Schizosaccharomyces pombe: one gene and its partner. Each later gene encodes a partner of the first gene's protein in a complex. Each region holds a gene or a part of one and is shown on either strand. Other genes may lie near its edges. A codon is read from its position in the direction of its gene.

What was found. Proteins that work in one complex are often made in the same cells at the same time.
Region 2: the proteins of asf1 (region 1) and pcf2 are in contact, whole or in part, in a crystal structure (PDB 2Z3F), measured with the Schizosaccharomyces pombe proteins. Residues at the interface, in NP_588267.1 of Schizosaccharomyces pombe: Phe28 (codon at 2,662), Asp37 (codon at 2,635), Leu60 (codon at 2,566), Leu61 (codon at 2,563), Val62 (codon at 2,560), Gly63 (codon at 2,557), Pro64 (codon at 2,554), Ile65 (codon at 2,551), Pro66 (codon at 2,548), Gly68 (codon at 2,542), Ile69 (codon at 2,539), Asn70 (codon at 2,536), Lys71 (codon at 2,533), Phe72 (codon at 2,530), Val73 (codon at 2,527); in NP_594450.1 of Schizosaccharomyces pombe: Lys503 (codon at 3,651), Arg504 (codon at 3,654), Ile505 (codon at 3,657), Ala506 (codon at 3,660), Pro507 (codon at 3,663), Thr508 (codon at 3,666), Pro509 (codon at 3,669), Val510 (codon at 3,672), Tyr511 (codon at 3,675).

The regions. Positions count from the first base shown.
Region 1 is NC_003421.2:1,641,813-1,646,851, forward strand, and holds asf1 (histone H3-H4 chaperone Asf1), read right to left. Parts: upstream 2,773-5,039; 5' UTR 2,744-2,772; coding exon 1,955-2,743; 3' UTR 1,090-1,954; downstream 1-1,089. Other genes in the region: SPOM_SPCC663.18 (GTPAse-interacting protein), read right to left, coding at 778-905, 954-985, 1,022-1,059; osr1 (dehydrogenase), read right to left, coding at 3,303-4,064. UniProt on the Schizosaccharomyces pombe protein: Histone chaperone that facilitates histone deposition and histone exchange and removal during nucleosome assembly and disassembly.
Region 2 is NC_003424.3:4,117,956-4,123,095, forward strand, and holds pcf2 (CAF assembly factor complex subunit B Pcf2), read left to right. Parts: upstream 1-1,918; 5' UTR 1,919-1,943; coding exon 1,944-2,075; exon of another isoform or gene 2,076-2,170; coding exon 2,171-2,273; exon of another isoform or gene 2,274-2,314; coding exon 2,315-2,557; exon of another isoform or gene 2,558-2,622; coding exon 2,623-3,683; 3' UTR 3,684-3,919; downstream 3,920-5,140. Other genes in the region: mgs1 (DNA replication ATPase), read right to left, coding at 1-245, 290-307, 353-383, 427-1,018; protein Gid5, read left to right, coding at 4,194-5,140. UniProt on the Schizosaccharomyces pombe protein: Acts as a component of the histone chaperone complex chromatin assembly factor 1 (CAF-1), which assembles histone octamers onto DNA during replication and repair.

The sequences.
Region 1 (5,039 bases):
AGTCATGCAGAACTTCAATTGAGTATAGATTAGTCAAAAACGAGCTAGCTGTGCTAAAGTTCAGTGCCAGTGACGTTGAGCTTAAAAAATAGAAAATAGAATAGAAAAAGATGAAATGGCAACACATTTGGCAGAATGATGTCCAAGGAAATCGATGGGAACATCAAAGGGTCAGAAACAAGAGAATAAAGCGTGAAGGTGTTCAAAGCCCACCTACCCACTTGCAATGAAGGTTGAGCGAGACGCAATAAGTTTTAAATGATAATTGGAGGGTCTTTCTTTTTTTTTTCTTCGCTCAATGAAAAAGGAGATAAACAAAATTGCAATAATTCATGTCTTTTAATAACGATATTAATTAGACAACTCGAAAAGGTATGTGGGTCGAAAGGCGTGTGGGGAACTCAAGAGGGCAATCAGAAAGTAAAGCCAACGTGTTTTATAATACGATGGGGAAAGCGAGGGATGGATCAATCCAACCAACAGCGACCAGTACAAGGGAATTTCTCTACGTAAAAAAATGCTAAAGGCCGCTAAAGGGCTGATCCATCCAACGGAAAACAAACACTTAAAGTAATCCAGTCATTCGTCCAAAAACTTTTCTGAGAATTCGCAGTTTTAACAGCGTTCTTACGCATCTATCCAAACGAACCTTATTTTTTTTTCTTCTTCATCGAACGAATCATACAAAAAACATCAAAAAAAGCGATTAATCAATTCAATGGTGCATCAACAACTCTTTCTGTACAAGTGTTGCTTCATAAAGAGGGTTAAACGACTTTACTTCTTGGGAACAGTCTGACGATTCTGAAAGGCCATCATGCTGCCGATGTATTGGCACAGATACTCGCTTTCTCGACTAATGTTTTCAGATTCCTGTTTGTTTTGATCGATCTCATCCAACAAAGCTATCAATTGTTAGTCTTTTCTTTCTCCAAAACGCACCGCCATCGTACCTTGCAATTGCTGTTGCAATTCCATCGCTTTCCTATCAATTTAGCAAAGAACTAGCAAAACCACTTACTGCTCCATCAAACTTCTTGGCAAGGAATCTGTACTCATTGAGTAATGCGCTTTTTTTGTTTTTTTGCGGAAAATGGGAGGTTGGGAAGTGTCTTACCAGCGTAGCGTCAATACATGTCATTTCCCATTGCTGTGACTTAGGGGTGTCACTCAATTTAAAGAGGCCACTGCAAGAGACATTATCCTTAATTGAGTTGAGTATTGCTATACGCAATATTTAAATAGCGTTTTATGTCATAATACGTTTTATTAGCGAACGGATTACATTGGAGTACGCAACTGATGGGTCTTGCAATAAACAAATATACATAGGGCGAAAACTAGAATGAGTGCTGCTGTCTTTTGGATGAATAAGTTAAATATGGAACATACTAATAATGGATCCACACATTAATAAACTGGAAAAAGATCCCGTCCCGTAAGGATAAATCGAGGAGAGAAAGCTTGCGTCTGTGCCCTAATTATGTTTTGAAAAACATGAAATGCACACTTCATACACCAGGATGCGAAAGTCTTTCAACAATTTACATGGGAAAAAAAGAAAATAATAATCTAATAGAACTCCGTTCCAAAATATGGAACGTTGGTACAAATGATGCGTTTAGGGCGATTGGAAGAGGCATACAATAGATGCTTCTTCCCTCCATTATGCAACGGAAAGGTCGACGGTTCAAAAATGAATTTAAATAAAAGATGTGTTATGAAAAATGCTTTATGGTAACAGGAAAAAAAATGCTATTCCTCTTTTCCCATTCCATAGTTTTTATTCTCACACTATCACCAGTCATGAATATTTTACATCGAAAAAATAACGGGTAGAGCGATATATATGCGCAAACTAAAAGAGAGTATACAAAAAAGTAATCATGTTCTTTATCGGATTAGTTCTTGTCAATATTAGTATTAGCATTCAAAAAATAGTCCGATTATCATTTTACTGAGACGTCTCTGGTTTCTCCTCAGGTTTCTCTTCCGCAGCTGAAGCATTTGCAAGAGCCGACTCTTCTTCTTCTTCCTCTATATCAATTTCTTCTTCTTCTTCTTCTTCCGATCCTTTCCCATCATTTTCTCCTTCTCCATCACCATCACCTTCTCCATCACCGTCTCCATCGTCTTCCTCCTCCTCCTCCTCATCGCCTTCTCCCTCTTCATCGAATTCTTCCTCCATTTCATCAGCTTCCTCCTCTTCTTCCTCTTCGTCCGCGTCAGGCTGAACTGGTGGAGCATCGTCAAAGTCGGGATTATCCCACTGAATGTTGAATCGAGTCACCCTTGGCTTTTCTGCTAAAATACTGCGCCAGACTTTAGAAATGTCAACCTTGACCTTTTTAATTTCTGCATCGTCCATTTCCTGAAGGTTCAGGCCCTCCATCTCATTGTTGACATAATAACCTACTCGAACAAACTCATTATCCTCATATGCACAAGAGAGTAAAATAACTGTGACACCCAAAACATCGCTGAGTTGAGGTAAAAGATCGATATTAGGAGGATCAGCTTCAAAAACGAATTTATTAATCCCGATTGGTATAGGTCCCACTAGTAGCGTGTCCAAAATTTGGTCGTAACTTTGAGACGTCGCACTACCTACATATGTCAACTTCCATTCCAGGTCGCTTTTTAACGGCTCCAGACATTCAAAGGTAATTTCGAATTTATATGGATCAGAGAACTTTGCCGGATTATTTAGCACATTAACACTAAGGATATTCACGATTGACATTTCGAAGTGAAACGCGTCTAAGCGATTGCCAAGAACAGCGTAGGTGAAGAAAGGTTTCGTAGAGTTCGGATAATTAAGGATACGCTTGACTATTTTATATCGCTTTTCGTGCTCTAAGGTAATAACACCTATTTGATTCAAACATATAAGGATTAAAATGCAGTAAATATAAATACTGAAGGCACATCTAAACAATGCCTCACTATTCGGTAAACAATAGAAAACATAACCATTGTTAAGTATTTTATGCGAAAGTACGAAGAACTTACAGAGCAGTTTAGTTAAACATAACCGTTGTTTAATAAAAATTTCTATTTCATTAATAATGCATGCAATGTACAATTAATATGATCATCAAATTTCATTGTGCAAAAACAACTCGTATGTGAAACATAAAAAATAGACATAACCTCCTTCATCTCTAATTATTAAAAAAGATATACAAGCGGATTAAAACATATATTTAGGGTTATTGTAAGTTCCTTCGATCATTCGGTTATATAATATTGATGCAGCTTAACAGCAAATCCGAATGACTTGTTAATGATGTGAATTTCCATCAGTATGGAATTGTAGTACCATCATAGTTGAAAAAAAATCCATTATTTTCGGGCTTCAAATTGTCTACAACTTTCAACATATCTGAAGCGCTTTGGTCTGGTGCCAAGGCCTGTTTCGCAAAGATATCTAAAATTTCCGGTTTCGCTTCAGCATGCTGATTTACAGCTTCCTGAGCTGAATCGGTTCGAACCATTCCGGGATGAATTGAAATCACTATGAATCCTTCATCTTGTAGCTCAAAACTAATTTCCTTCATTGTAAAATTTAAAGCAGCCTTGGATTGGCCATAACCAGATTGGTTAAATGGGAAGAAAGCACCCATGGATCCAACTAATGATGAAGTAAAAACAATGATTTTAGATTCTCCTTTCTTCACAAGAGGATAAAAGGCTTGGTAGACATGAATTGGTCCTAAAACATTGGTTTTATAGTGAGAGTTCCAGACATCATCAGGAGTATTCAGAACAGTGTTGAAAGAATGAAAAATGCCCGAATTTACCCAAAGAACATCTACTTTACCTACAGCTTTTGCAACTTCTTGAGCGGCTTCATTAGCACTCTCTAGAGAGGAGATATCTAACTTAATAATATGCACATTGGAATGAGACTTGCTCCATTCTTGTAATTCAGTAGCAGCTTCAGGCTTGCGGGCACTTGCAAATACAACTGTTCCTTCTCTGTTGCTCAATTCCTTAACAAGAGAGAGTCCAATGCCTCGATTTCCTCCTGCAATAAAGTAAATTTTGTTGGTAGTAGACATATTCTAACACAATATTTGAATGATCCTTGAATCCGTTTGAAAAGTGTAATTTGGTGTCGGCAATTTATCATTAACTTCGTGCTTATATACCAATTCTTCAAATCATTATGCTTACGTGATTTGAACCGTGAATTTTGATGCTTACATAATTGAATATACTTCCAAAATCAGCAGGTTCATAGTAGTTCACGTAGAGCGTTAGGTGATATTTTGCCATATAATATGGATATTGCAACTAATCTTTATAACCCGTTCCATTGGTTTGTCAGCTGCTTCCTTGATACTGCTTGCATACTGAATAGTATTCCTTTAAATGCACCTTTCTTTTAATTTCCTTGATAAAGTATCATAAAGGGAGAATTTATTTGAAAATTGTTTAATTGATAATGCTGAGACATTGGCCATAGGAGAAAAGCGTTGAATCAGGATACAAAAAAACAACTCTTTTAAACCTTGAAGTCCTTTCACAATAAAAATTATTAAACAAAAAAAACATAGAAATAGAATAATTTTAAGATAAAATATAAGTTTGCAACCGATTTAAGCATTGCTGTATGAACACTTGAATTTTTTATATGCGACGCCCTTCTTTATATATCCAAAGGTTGAATAAAACGTATCAAGATCTAAAACTGCTGAACAATCCAAGTGGCACCTTGGACTCGCTCAAACTTTTTATGCTCGTAAACATTTGTAAGAACATATGAAATTAACAAAAAACAATTGTTTGAACAAATCATACACTGGAATCTAGAGAGCAAAGTACCTTTAAAAGGGGATATCAAAACCGTCATGAGTACGAAAAGATCCACTGTTTTCGGGTTTCAAGTCGTCTACAACCTTTAACATTTGTGCAGCACTTTGATCGGGAGGAATGGAATTTTTTTGAAAGTATTCTAACATGACAGGATGTTGTTTGGAAAAATGCTCACTGGACTCTTTTGACATCTTGGTTTGTACAAGTCCTGGGTGAAT
Region 2 (5,140 bases), on another chromosome or scaffold:
CTTGTCTTAGCATTCCAATAGACATTTCTAAAGCATTTAAGGCCATTCTAGCATCTCCGTCTGTAATAGCAGATATGTAATCAATAATAGATGTTTCAACGTTGGGCATAGAAGATCCTAGTCGCTCACTTTCCAGTAAGCAAGCATGGTTTAATATTTTCTTAACATTATCACGCGTTAGTTTCTTAAGCACAAAAACGGGGCATCTGCTAATGAGAGCAGAATTTAGTCGGAAAGAAGGATTTCTACAATGTTAATCATGGTGGAAAACATTAGTGTTTAAACATACTCAGTTGTTGCGCCGATCCTAATTCAAAGGTTAGCATTTGTGATATTAGAATGCATCACTTACAGAGTAACTAGACCCTTTTCAACCATTGGCACTAGTCATGGTTAATTGAAGAGATAAAAAAATATCAAACTTACAAAATATATCCTGTTGCGCACGGTTGAAACGATGTACTTCGTCCAAGAAAATAATAGTCTTTCTTCCTGTCAAGGTGAGATAATTTTGTGAGTCTTCAAAGATTTTACGACAATCAGCAACAGTCGTCGAAGTCGCAGAAATTTCTATGAACCTTGATTTTGTTGTAACGGCAATTAGTCTAGCAAGCGTAGTCTTTCCAGTTCCAGCACTACCCCATAAAATCATGGAATTGCACCTATCTTGTTCAATCAGATTACGAATGATGCCTCGCTCACCAACCAGCTCTTCCTGACCAACATATTCATCTAGTGATTTGGGTCTTGCTCGTTCCGCCAGTGGTCGTGTATCCCGTCTTGTAAGTTTAGTTTTCTTTGTAGGGCTGGGTTCAGGCTCTATAAATTTTGTAGCGCTCTGGTGAGATGAGACATTTGTTTCTAAATGATGTTTATAGCGTTCCTTTTTAAAAAAGGGTGAAACAGGTTTCGAAGGGCCTGATGAGTCCGAATAATGTGAATCAAGGTGTGGATTAATGTCATTCATCGTAACTGTTTTCGCGCAAACAGGACATTGAACATGATCTGGTCCTGACATTCTGATTTACATAGATAAAAGTATGTGGTACGAAAGGTAAACAGATAAATCTGGAATGAAACAATAACACATACAAATGAGCGACCTTTGGCAAGAAAGTTTACAAAAAAAAGTAACGTTTAAGGAATTTTGATCATCAAAATTGCTTGTTGTTTATGACACTCTCAACAGCAATATAACAGAGCTGAACGGCATCGATTGTACAAAACCGTGAACCAAGTCGTCGCGTGTAGTTAGGGAATTATACGATGAAGTAAGAGGTTATAATAATATCAAAGTATTTGTTTAAGCTAAAAATATTACTTACAAGAAAAAGTTAGATTTTAAATTCATATGTGTTATTATAGTTGACAGTTTTTATACGCAATTTCACCGCCTAAATGATAAGATATTAAAAAAAAAACAATAGAAATGATGAGTCTATGGAAGATAATAAAATGTCTAAAAACCAAAATGATGTTGATCCAAGACTTGTAAACTACGCGTTTTAAACCCTCAAATTTTGTACTCTATTATATGAAATACTCTGTTTTTAAACCAAGGGGAAAGGATGCAATTTCAACTGTGAAAGTCCATAATATTTATAAGAAATCGAACCTTATAAACTTACCTAACACTAAACATAGTAATCGCACGGCTAATAAGAAGACTATTGTGCAAACTAAAGGGCTTTAAATAGATAAAAAAAAATAGAGTATAACGGGCACTCAGCATATAATTCAAAATTTTTCCTCCAACTACTAATGCTGCTTGAACATTGAACCCAAAGCAAATTGACAAATAATAGAAATAACAACAATATTAGAGAGTTCATAAAAAATTCTCTTTGAACTCTAAATAATATACACGTTAGTTCCGTACTCACGAAATTACTATTAGAAAAATTGTGCGAAGCGATCCTAGAGCACTAACGACGAAGAGGAACATGAGAGCGGAGGTTTTGCAGATACGATGGCATTATGATGCTAATGATGATCACACACCTATTTATTCAGTTGATTTTCAAAAGAACAGTCTTAATAAATTTGCTACATGTGGAGGAGACAGTAAAATCAGGGTAATGATTTGACATAAAACTATTTTTGCTTCAACTATTGTTTGTTGTAGTTTAAAAAAAAGAAAGAAAATTCCTTCAATTATACTAATATCCAGATATGGCAATTGATCACTTCGGAATCATCCACAAAAGTCGAATATTTGTCTACGTTAAGTCGACACACGCAAGCAGTGAACGTCGTTCGTTTCAATCCAGAAGGTATTCGCTAATAATTTTTTCCAATGCTCACATTAAAATAGGAAATATTCTTGCTACCGCCGGAGATGAAGGAACTATTATGTTATGGGTTCCAACTAACACTCCTATAACAACTTTGGCTGATGATGCGGAAGAGTTGGCTCTAGCTAAAGAATATTGGAAGGTCAAAATAGTTTGTAGGTCGATGGGTTCAGAAATATATGATTTATGCTGGTCGGTTGACAGTAATTTTCTTATTGCCGGCGCCATGGATAATAGTCTTCGGTTGTACGATGCTCACACAGGTATGAATTGGCAGTTGTTGTTATTGGCAATATTTTTTTTTAAATTAAAATTACTGACTAAGAAGGGCAACTGCTTACTCAAAAATTCGACCATTCACATTACGTTCAAGGGGTATGTTGGGATCCTTTGAATCAATACATCGTTTCGGAAAGTAGTGATCGTTCTATATGTTTATACGAAATTCAAGAGGAAAAAAAGAATCCGAAAAAATTCCAACTCGTTTTAAAATCGCGCATCTGTCGTATTGAGTATAATGTAACTAAATTCGAATTAATATCTGTTACGAAGCCCTTAAATAATGATGAATCATCGGGGATATCAGAACCTATCGAAACTTCTAATAATAATGAGTCTCCCGTATCTAAGCACGAAGCTCTCTCATCAACTGCAAACATAGTCAAAGATGGAAGCTTAGAGCGAACAGAGCCTCCAAATTCTCTCAATTCAAAAATCAGTTACTCTTTGTACTGCAATGAAACTCTTGTTTCTTTTTTTCGTCGTCCAGCATTCTCCCCTGACGGATTACTACTAGTTACGCCTGCTGGTCGGCTTCGACCGCACGGTCAACCAAACTTTGAAGTTCCCTATACTGCTTATATTTATACAAGAGGGAGTATAACCAAACAGCCAGTAGCTTGTCTTAATGGATTCAAAAAACCAGTTATTGCGGTTCGTTTTTCTCCAATTCATTATGAATTGAACTCATTCTCTAACTTCTCTTTTACTTCTGTCTCTTTTAATCTTCCTTATCGAATGGTATTTGCTGTGGCATGTCAAGATGCTGTTTATATTTATGATACGCAAACTTGCAAACCATTTTATCGTGCAGTAAATTTACATTACTCTAACCTTACAGACATAGCTTGGAATGATGATGGAAATGTTTTGTTAATGACTTCTATAGATGGTTTTTGTTCTGTAATTACCTTTGAACCTGGAGAATTGGGTGTCAAAAGTCAACACAAAATTTCTTTGCCGGAGAAACGATCAGCTTCACCCTCTAGTATTGATGATTCACAAGACAATACGGCTGGGGGACCAGCTACTACAACACTAATTCCCAGAAAAGTTGAATCTTCAAAAGTATCAAAGAAGCGTATTGCACCTACCCCCGTTTATCCATAATTTCATGTTTATGAAAAAAGTTCTACTTCGACAATACGCTTTGATTTTTGGAGTAAAAATCTCGTACTTCTTGTTTTGTACTAGTAACTTTAAAGAACCTTTTATTTTTTTAAAAAAAAAAAAGAAGGCAAAACTGTACATTCTACTTTGGATGTAATCATTCGGTAATTTGCTTAGATATAAGCACAATTAAATTCATTACAATTGTTAAGATAAATATATAAAAAGCAAATAATACTTCTAATCGTTTGTACTTTTTGTCTACTTAAGACTATAAAACTAATATGTAACTTTTCTGTAAGTATAAAATACGTATTGAGGAACCCTCTTACACATAACATCACCACCATTCTATAGGAATTGCATCTTATACATTACTCATTGCATAGATTAAATTGCTAATAATCTACTTTTATTAAAAAAAGATTTAATCAGCTCATTTTCACGCTAGTTTTCCAAATTTACTGAAGTCTCATATTTTTTGCAAATATCTTCAAGTTTTGTTCATGAATGGTCGCCATTAACGACTCTACGGATTCTTCGTTTTTTAAAGAAAATCCTAAAATATTTAAGGATGAGCATGAGTTGTTGAGGTATATCGTTCCTTTCAAAAATTGGGTAATTGGAAGACCCGACAGAAAAGAATATGCAATTCGCAATGGAGCTCCAAAGCTGTTGCTTAATTTATTTTCCTTAGAAAATTTATCCATGAATGAAAAATATCAAGTTTTTGTTGTTTTAAACTCCTTGATGAGTGAGGACCAGGACCCTTTCGTTCAATTTTTACGACACGAGGATCTTCTTTCCGTTATGCAAATGATTTCGAAAAGGGATAGTACACCATATGGAATGCTGAATATCACCCTTAAAGTTTTTAACACAATGCTGAGTTTTGACAAAGCAGCAGAATATGTCACTCAGTTACATTCGGACTCTATAATTAATCAAATGTTTGACTTGTATACTTTACCCTTGAAAGAACAACCTTCTCTTGATGTGTTGCGTATCTCAAATTTATCTTCTAAGATTTTGCATCGTCTTATCCTTTATAACTCTAAAGTTGGAGACTCTCCACGATTCTGTTCTGCTTTATTTCAAATCACTAACAGAGCTACCCAATTGCGCTTGTATTCCAGAAGAAGATTTTGGAATGATTGCTCTATCTTAATTACTAACTCCCTGGGTACTTTGAATGCTTATTTAAAACAGCATGTGAAGTCTTATAAACAAAGAGAGAAAACCCGGCTAGAATCAAATGGTCACGTTTCGCCTCGCGATATGGATTTAGATGAAATTGAAAATGTTTTTGAGGGAAACAAGGATAAGGTCGCCTTATTTAAATCAGAGATATTTGGGCCTAATGGTGATGAATATATTACTCAGTTATTCTGTCTCGTTAGACAGTTTGATCCTTGTATTCGCTTGCTCTCAATTTCTTGTTTAGTGACCCTATACAA